Linked DNA regions of Caenorhabditis elegans. The protein of the gene in region 1 interacts with the protein of each later gene in a pairwise test. Each region holds a gene or a part of one and is shown on either strand. Other genes may lie near its edges.

The links.
Region 2: the proteins of vet-1 (region 1) and lin-15A interact in a two-hybrid assay, tested with the Caenorhabditis elegans proteins (2 studies listed by BioGRID).

The regions. Positions count from the first base shown.
Region 1 is NC_003279.8:6,199,993-6,204,040, reverse strand, and holds vet-1 (Very Early Transcript), read left to right. Parts: upstream 1-1,964; 5' UTR 1,965-1,974; coding exon 1,975-2,081; intron 2,082-2,166; coding exon 2,167-3,016; 3' UTR 3,017-3,243; downstream 3,244-4,048. Other genes in the region: T05E7.1 (BAAT_C domain-containing protein), read right to left, coding at 1-27; col-55 (Collagen triple helix repeat protein), read right to left, coding at 3,848-4,048.
Region 2 is NC_003284.9:15,730,034-15,736,175, forward strand, and holds lin-15A (Protein lin-15A), read left to right. Parts: upstream 1-1,934; 5' UTR 1,935-1,941; coding exon 1,942-2,220; intron 2,221-2,687; coding exon 2,688-2,777; intron 2,778-2,828; coding exon 2,829-3,266; intron 3,267-3,771; coding exon 3,772-3,876; intron 3,877-3,923; coding exon 3,924-4,091; intron 4,092-4,149; coding exon 4,150-5,229; 3' UTR 5,230-5,332; downstream 5,333-6,142. Other genes in the region: Protein lin-15B, read left to right, coding at 1-336, 390-1,463, 1,513-1,578. UniProt on the Caenorhabditis elegans protein: Synthetic multivulva (synMuv) class A protein. SynMuv proteins are required to repress the induction of vulval development.

The DNA.
Region 1 (4,048 bases):
ACTGTCCACTTTATCAACATGAAGCATTTCTTGAAAACCTGAAAATGTAAATAAGCACTTGATTTTCAAAGCAGTTTTTGGAGGTTTCTTTTTATCAATTCGAATTCTGCGATAAGAAATGTTGCATTTTGTTTGGTTTTCCATCTAGTTGATCAGAAAGAGGGAGGAGCTTTTTTTTTAGATAATCAAGTGACTACAAACCGATCAAGTGATTGTTACAATAGACTCTTAAAGTGCATTTCCCGAAAAAAAAATTGAAATTTGTCTAAAACCTGTTATTAAACTTTTTAGATGAATACTGATAGAAGGCAACAAATGCTTGAATAGCTTTAGTAAAGTAGAATATTACAAAGATCTTGCTAATTAAAAAAAATTATATACAAAGATTTGACTCATTATCAATTGTCTGATAGTCAGATTTGCATGCCACATTTTGAAATCATATTCTTTTTATTTCTTAAGAAAGAAAAAAAAATTTAAGAACAACATGCAAGTATTTGTGTGTTGAAAACTAGGGTAAATCAAATGGAAGTGTTGGTAATATTGGCAAATGTCTGAATAACTTCTGTATTTAGGAATTACAACAAATATTGGTGGGATTTCGTTTGTATTTTTGGTTTCAATAGATCAATGAAGCTACTTAAGTGAACGATTTAAAATAATTAAATTTCAGCCGAGTGTCATCGTCAGTCTAGAGTACATTTTATGGATTTTAATTTTCACTTTAAGGATAAAGAGGTGCCACAGTTGACAATAAAACGGATTTAATCTGGATATCAATTCATGTTCGGACGCTGCGACCGCCAAATAAATATATTACGTTTTTAATACTTCAATTCAGTCTTTCCTTTGTCTCTTTTTAAATCCTAGTTTGAAGAGCCCCATACATATAAACTTAACTTCCATTAGCTATTTCATGGTTCTATAAATCTAGGGTACCAGTTTTTGTGACCTTATATTTTGGTACCTTCTCAATCTGCCGTTTCAGGGAGAGGGAGACAATAAGCAGACGATCTCATAGAGCCTTTCTGGATATCGATCCAAATCCAGACGCTGTAATGAACTACCTAACATTCACTCTCATTCATGTTGTTCTCAATTCATTCTTCTCATTTTATCCAGGTCCCATTCGGTACGTTTATTTTTTTGTTCTTATTTTGATTGTTTTAATTTTCTGAGATATCCCAGTTGCAGTCCTAGTAAGTAATTGTGTATTTGTATTAATTCCTTTAAAAAATCTTCAACCGAAGACGAAAAGAGAATAGAGCCCTCTATTTCAGAATACTGACATTTCTAGTGTAAATAAAATAGTGTAAAAAAGTATTACTTTGGTTTTTCATGTACCGGATTTTTCCTGATCGTATTGCACGTATATCTGATTTTAAATAGCTTATATGGCCTTCGAGACTGCTAGATTTTCAATTAAAAACTGGAATAGCATATTTATAGCCAAAATTAATTTTTGAAACTTGAAAGTGATAAAATTTTTTTACATCTTTGAATGTTAACATTTTTTTCTTTCTTAAGGTTTGAGTGGGATGAAAGATTGATAAAACCTGCGAGATTTGTATCGATGGTACTGAATTAACAATAGTGGGAGCTAGATTAATTGGAATTGGAAATTTAGTTTCTTTCAACGTTTACAAAATGCCCATTTTAGTATAGCCATAGATTTGGAGTCAACTACATTCTGAATGACTTCTCTCGATCCAATCAATATATTATGTTCTTCGACAGAAGATCACCATACAATGCAACGCTTTTCCAAAATTGTGAATATCGATCCATATTTGGACGCTGTAAATTCTCACCATCGTTCTCTCTCACTGTTTTTTCGATCCAATTACTCATTCTCACCTAACATTCTCAAAAGGTGCATCTTTCCTTTTTTCATTTATTTATTTGCTCTAGTATTTTCTACTGCAGTTTCACTAAACGTTTCTTTTCAATTAAATATTTTTCAGAACTGAAACTATGTTTGCTGAAAATCCATTCTTCACTCCCACCGAGTCCAAGTTGAAATCGGAGATCGCACTTCTTCAAATGAAATTGGATGACGAACGATTTGATCATCAGAAAACGTAAGTTGTTTGAACTCTAGGACAACGTGCAACCTGTTATATAGATTATATTGTACTAACCCATTCTTAATATGTTCAATTTCAGACGACGAGAGCTTGCCAATTCTCGACTTGAGATCTCTGATCTGAAAGGGGAAGCGAAGTGCCATGATTCGGAACTCAATCGTCTCTACACAATAATCAATAATTTGGAAAAGAAGGTTGAAGATTTGAATGGAGAACATCAAAAGTCATTGGAAAAATTGAAAGAACGTCTTCATGAAAAGGATGCTTTTATCGAGGCTTGTGAAGAATTCTATGATGAGAAGAAGATCAATGTGAACAAAATGACATTGATGAAACAAGAAATGGAATTGAAGAGAATCAAAAAGAACTTTGAAGAATACAAGGAAAGAATGACTGAAGTTGAGAAAAATTTGAACGAATTTATCAAAAGACAATCGGCCATTTGTATGGGAGTGAGATATGAATTGAATATGGAAAAGGATTCGAGAGAGAGATATTTCAAAGAAGCTCAACAATTGAAACAAGAGAAAGATGTATTGGTACATGAAATCAATGAAAGAGAAGTCAGAATTTTGTGTCTGAGAAGTGATATTCTTACATTGAAATCTGAAAACAACGACACCTCTAAGGAACTTGATGAAATGAAAAATGGAACCAAAGCTTTGAAACATGAACTTGAAGAGACCAAGAAAATGAAATCCGAAGCCTTGTCGAAATATGAAGAATCTCAAAAAGAGTTCGAACAGTTCAACTTGAAGTTCCAAAGATTGTGCACAAAGTTCTACGAGGAACGTGTCTCTTCTCAGACAACTTCACCTAAAATGAAAGAACATCTGGCATCTGCTAAGAAACGATTGTCTGCTATCAAGGAAACACTCCAAAATGAAGAAGATTTTGATGAAACCGGAGAAGTAACCAATTATCAATAATTTAATATCACCCAATTACTTTTTCCGTGTTAATTTTTCTTCTTTTAGCTACTATCGCTTTTTTAGCATTTTTTCGATTTGATACTATTGCTTTTACTTTACCATTTCCATTGCACTTTTTCGTTTGTTGTAATACGAAACAATACGGCTTAATTTTTCAACGCCTCGGCATTCTTTCAATCCATCTTAAAATGTTACTCTCTTAATTATTCAATAAATGTTTCATTAAATATCGGAATCACTTTTTAACGTGGATTTTTATAACCAAACAGGTGTACGAAAAGTTTACTATCAATTTTAAATAACAGGCAGAATCAGAGAACTTCACATCGAAACACAACATGAAAAGTAAAACACACGACTAGCGATAAAAACTGTTGGAAAAATCAATCAAATTCAAGAGGAATTTGAAAAGTACGTGCTGAAGGTGGTAGATTAGTGAAAGCTATTACAATATTTCCAACAATTGTGGTTTCATCTTCCATGTTCTTTTTTGAGTGAAATCGAGATGAGTTTTTTGAGAGAGTACTCTAGAATCTGTAAAAGTCGATGATGTAGCGAAAAAGTGCAAATATCATTTTTGCATGAAAAACTAAAACTGATTAGATAAGAAATGACAACAATGGTTAATGATGTTGACCTATGCTCTGCTTGTATACCGTGATTAGTGTCTTTGAAATCAATTCCATAAAATAAAATACGTGAGTGTGAGTTCAAATATACCATTAGAAGACAGTTCAGACCTAGAAAATGTTTTGCAACCAGTTTTGTATATTCTCGAATTAACAATTTTTATGCAAAATGATTTATTTGTAGGAAAACAAAGGGAAGCTAAGCTGAAACCTTGTCAACACGCTTGCGGAAGACCTTGCGATGTTTACGAACTACAACGGAACGAGATGGGCATGGACAATGAGCAGCATCTCCTCCTGGAGATCCAGAGTTTCCTGGCGCTCCTGGAGTTCCTTGTGCACCGGCTTGCCCTGGCTGTCCTGGTGCTCCTGAGGCTCCTGATCCACCAGATTGTACTGG
Region 2 (6,142 bases), on another chromosome or scaffold:
GAGCGTCTGAAGAATGTGACGATTGAAAATGAAAAGCTGTTGATTATGTTGGGCTGTATTTATCGCGGAGAATTTACTCTAGGACAGGCACAGCTTTTCATGGCGCGTGAGAGCAAAACGTACATTTGCCGTCTCCATTTCCTGGAGACCCTCGACGAGATCTACCAGATGCTACGTCTGAAATCTGCCGATGATATTCTGATTTGCCCATTGGACTTGATTCAGAACGCATTGATCACTGTTTCCGCCCTCCGTCCACACATTATTGCTTCACAACTTCGAAAGATTCTTCACGATTTTGCCGAAAGAAATAATCATCTTCGTGAAACGCCAGCGGTAAGTTTCCGTTTTTAAAATTGCACATTTTGAAACAAATTAATTGTTTTTAGGAATTGAAGAAACTTGGACAACAATACTTTGACTACCGCGAGCCCGAACCTGAGCCAGAGAGAAACGATGTGGATGAGCAAGAAATCATACCGAAACTCTTTCGCCAGCCACGCAAGCAAGTTCTGGAAGCTGATCAGCATGACGGAACTGTCAAGGTTATAGAGCAGGAAGATTTCAAGCTCCCAACTGTCAAACCGTCTGAAAATGAGGAATGCGACAATCCGGGCGTTTGCTGCTTCTGTTCGAAACGTGGCGACCGAGGTGGAATGCTTCGTGTCCCGAGAAGTGAGGAACGTTTGGCTAGATGGGTGGATAAGCTTGGACCAGAATTTGAAGCCCGACTTCACACCAATACGGAAAACCTAATTTGCCGAAGCCATTTCCCAGATGCAGCGTTCAGCAGTCGTGGTAGACTTTTGAAAGGAATGATTCCAGATGCTGCTCCAGAAAAAGTTGAGACCACGTATATCATTCAAGGGAACAACTTCCTCAAACTCAAAGAGCGCAAGTCTGGAACTGATAAGAATTCAGCCATTGATTTGGCGAATATGTTAAACCCCGACGGTGTTGAATATACTCAGGAAGAAGAAGAAGAAGAGGAATATGAAGAAATGTCAAGATCCCCAACGGAAGAGACTTCAGACGACGAGCCCAGTCAAGCAGCAGTTTACAACAATGCTCCAGTGATAAAACGTACCTATAGAAAGCGGGAGTTGTCAAACGAGGATGGACCTCTTAACTTGGTAACACCACCTGCTCATACTCCGAACCCAAGAGGGCGCCCAAGGAAGTATCCCAAGAATAGTGTAACACCAGAAGCTGAAAAAAGCCTCACCGACTACGACTACAATCCGGGAACATCTCAACGACGTGCACTTAAGAAAGGTTACGTACAACTCGAAGACGGAGAAATTGTCGGCGAAGATTGCGAATACGTGCCTGAAAAAACACCAAGTGGAAGATTGATTCGACAAGCTGTTGCTAGACGAAGCTTTGCTTTTGCTGATGAGGAAGAGGAGGAGGAAGAGTATGAAGAATCTCCAATTGTTAAAAAGCCCAAGATTGCTGGAAGAGTGAGTTTTTGAAAAATATATGCTTTGAATTATTTTTATATTTTTTCAGCCAGTCGGACGACCGCGCAAAGATGCTAATAAGCTGCCAACCCCCACACCACCCAGCAACGAATAAGTGGAAATATTTTCATCCACCGTTCCTGATTGTTGTTTTTATATATAATTTTTTCTCCATTGATGTTTTTGATGATTAAGTCATACGCATAGTTTTACCCTGTTACTTTGATTGCCCTTAAAATTACCACTTTTATTTTACCTATTTATTTTAATCATCATTCATCTGAAACCTCACAATGATGAGATGATCTCATCATTTTTATATTTTGTAGTTTTATATCAGTTTTATAAATGTTCACCGAAATTTGATGCCAACTGGTTTTTTTCTAATTCTTTCCAAATGGTTTCACATCACCAAATGACAATTTTCCTTTACTTTCCTATCTTGCTTATCATACACTATCACTTATTCAGATTCCTAATGTTGGCTCCAGCGGCTCCAGCTAAAGATGTTGTCTCGGCAGATGAAAAAGAAGAAATCATTGCGAAAAGAAAATTTCGAATGAAAAACGTTGATGCTATGCGAATGTCAAGCTTGGCGAACGATCGGATGGCTTTCAACAAGAAATGCAATGCCCTAGCGATGAAGTTTGTTAAAAGTGCCGGCATTGGAACGGATGCTCTGCAGCTCACATGTTTCCAGGAGCTCGTCCGGCATTTCAACCCAATTGCCGCAGTTGTTGTTGGTGTCAAAAGAGAGGTATGGCTTTTTAAGGATTTTCTCCCATTTTCTGATATATCTAGTTAAAGGTGGAGTAGCGCCAGTGGGGAAATTGTTAAAAACTACTCCTTTAGTGCCAAAAGGACCAAATATCAAAATAAAACTTTTCAAACATTTTTTGAAAATTTTTTATTTACTGTCAAAAAGTGACAATCATTCAGTGTTTGCCAATCATAATTTTGGAAGTCGACAAAAAAATGTTCTCCTACATTTAAAATGCAATTTTGTTTTGCCTACTTGTATTAAAACATTGTTGGGGTCGGAACATGCGACATTGCTGTGGATTTCCTCAAAAGCTCATATTTTTCATAGTTTTGGCAATATGCCAAAACTTTGACTGGAAATTATGAAAGATCTAAAAATTTTTGGAGTGTTTTATTATGATATTCGGTCGTTTTGAATCATGATAAGGTTGAATAAGAAGTGTTCTATCTTCAATGTTTCAGCCAAACTCCAATGTACAAGCTGAAAAAAAGACAATTCCAAAAGTCAAGACAATACAAACACCTACCCAGTCAATGGAATCTGTTCGATTGGTAAGCAGAAATGTTTGAAGATTATTCATAATAATGCGTATATGGTTTCAGCTCCAAGAGAAAAAAGCTTCAGCAACTGAAGAACAATCAGCTGAGTCTGCTTCGATCATGAAGCATTTTGCGAATACAATTCCAAACTCAACACCAACGCAAAGCGTGAAGGATGTTCTGACGGCGGCTGCAAGCAAGGGACAATTCAAAAGTAGCGCGGAAATTTTTTCACACTTTCCAAGTGAACCCAGCCCCTCGAAACCCCGTGCCACACGAGAGGGATCTCAACCGAGTGACTACACGTATTGTACCTATCTGACTCCGTGCATACTCTGCGAGAAGGCTCTTTTAATGCGAGAAAGCATTGCAATGACTGATAACGAAGCTGTGAAAGTTTTGATGGCGGCAGTGATGTCTGGCCACTTTAGAATGGCAACTGCAGAGAAAGCGATTCGTCATGAGAGGCTAAGGATGTGCTATGATCATGTTGATTTTGTAGTAAGTTGTTCAGTATTTTTTTCAAAATAGTTAAGTTTGAAAAGCTGTGAAAACTTTTCTAAAGCTGATTAGAACATAAATTCTAATTTAAAAGTTATTAATTTTATTTATAATTTTCATGGCAAAAGTTCAAAATTTTTGGTGTTTTGTTTAGTACAACCTCTATTTTATTTTATATATGTGATCGATATTAATACATTAGACTAGAAAACAAGAATTAAAGGACGATCCGTTCTTCAAGTCCTATGCACTACGGATCTGGGATTCAGGTGGTGCTCCCACTGAGTTATAATTTAAGCCACGTCCTAGCCGGGGACTGTGGCCGATAATCCTATCGTGGACTGCTCTACTTACCAATAGAGGCTGGATGAAAACCTAGGTGGTGAGGTTGGACTTGAACTTGTGACCTCCAGATTGCTAGCGGCCACCACTACCGACTGAGCTATCCTGCCCCCTTTTAGTTTAGAGATTTTAGTTTAAAAAAAACCATACACCACTTTTTCAGTACGAAATGATGTGCGACGCCTTTGAAGCTAAAACGGAAAGCGAGATCAATGAGATGCCACCGGACAGATTGATGCGTGGCCATGATATCTATAGAGCACTGAAGGTTTGATTGTCATATCTCGTTGTTCTACAACGGTGAAATGTTTTAAGAGAGTCGGCGACCTGCACAAAGGGAAGGTTACGTCGAACACTCCGCTTTACTCATTCAAGAATTCCATTAAATCTTATTACCGTAACCACGTGCCAAGGATGGTCAATGGGTCTCTCAGTAAACCGTCTCCCAAACCGTTCTCAGAGCTGGTTGCGCTTTTGCAATCGGTGAGTCTTGTGACACTTGTGAAAATTTTAAAAAAATTTAAAAAATTATTCGTTTAAGGTGCCTCCATCGACGAATCTAAATGAGTTGCTGAATCATAATCTTAGCCTCAGTGATGCTGATAAGCAAGAACTCATTCAACTCATCAATGGGAAAGATAATCGTTTCACATCTCGGAGACGGAAAATCGAGGATATTCTTGACAACAAGTTTGCTGCTGCAGCTGCAAAAGCTTATCGAGATCACAGTGAAGATGCACCTAGTGAACCGTATATTCCCAATCAAAGTGAGATGCAGAACACTGTAGAACGCAGAAAGCGAAAGCTTCATTCGCCTGAACAGGATGATGCTGGATCATCGAGTATCTCATGGAACGCAAAAAAAACGAAAACTCCAATTGACTATGTTCACCTAGCAACGCGTGTTTTGGAAGGTCATTCAATTGCCGACGAGGCGCTTTTGCACAAATCCAAAGTTTCTTATGCTCGTAATGCATTTGGTGAGAAGCCAAGCTCCCCCACTCCGCCATCTGCGCCACTAAAGTTCTGTGTTGTCAATGGAAAGAAATACTTGCGTTTTGAAAACGGAACCGGACCTCCGAAAGTTGTAGTTCAAGGGAATGTCGTTCTTCGCACTAATACTCTTAAAGACGCATTGACTACAGCGCCACGTGCACAAAACCAGCCTTCTACGTCCACAGACTCATCAAGCTCATCCGAGATGGAGGGAATACGTCAATCATTTGGGGCGCCTCAAAAGGAAGAAGAAGAAGAAGAATTAGTACCTACGCTTCTTCAAAACAAACCTACCCACGTGGAATCTTCGAGCCCCGTTGAAAAAAAACCACCAACCAAAACGAACGTAGAGAAACCAGCGGTCCGTCTAGGAAGAATGTTAACGACTGCATTTGGTTCAATGAGTTACCGAACAAGAAAATCGGTAGAGAATAAAACGGATCTCTTAAATCAGCCAACATCTGCCTCACCAAGACGCATGATTAAAGTTGTGAGAAACCGAAATCCTCACCTTGCGAAACAAGTGGCCGCCGCACCGAGTGAGCCAAAACATATTCCGCCAACGCACATGGAAAAGAAGCCGGAAGAGTTGCTCATGGATCCAAAGCCTGAGCCAATTTTTTAAACGTTCTTGATAACTTTGATTATTATCTTTTTAGTTCAATTTCATGTTTTTTTTAAACTGTTTTTTTCTCATCACAATCGATCTTATAAATATGTTACTTGTTATCAAAACTATTTCAAGAATTTCGAGTTTAGCGCATTTCGTGAGGAGGAAGTCTGAAATTAAAAGTTTTTGCAATGAATTTTTGTTCGGTCACACGGAATTTTTCAGGTTAGAAAAGTGTTTTGTGCGTGTTGGTTTTGTTGACGTCTTTTCAGAAAAAAAATTTAATGGTGTTTATTGATTGAAACCCGTATCCAAAAGATAAAACAACATACCGCAATTCCAAAAAAGAGCAAATTATGTTTGCCGGAAATGTTTAATTCCGGCCATTTGTCGATTTGCCGGAAATTTTCAATTCCGACAATTTGCCGATTTTCTGGAAGTTTTTAATTTTGGAAAGATGCCGATTTGCCGGAAATTTTCACTCCCGGCGATTTGCCGATTTGCTGGAAATTTTCGATTCCGGCCAATTGCCGGAAATTTCAGTTCCTGCGATTTGTCGGTTTTCCCGAAATTTTTAATTCCGGCAATCTGCCGATTTGCCAAAACTTTTCAATTTCGGCAATTTGCCATTTTGCCGAAAACTTTCAATTCCGGCAATTTGTCGATTTGCCGGAAATGTTCAATACCGGCAATTTACCGATTTGCAGGAATTTTTCAACTCCGGCATTTCGCCGATTTGCCGGAAATTTCAATTCCGGCCATTTGTCGATTTGCCGGAAATTTTCAATTCCGACAATTCGCCGATTTGCCGGAAATTTTTAATTCCGGCAATCTGCCGATTTGCCAAAATTTTTCAATTTCGGCAATTTGCCATTTTGCCGAAAACTTTCAATTCCGGCAATTTGTCGATTTGCCGGAAATGTTCAAA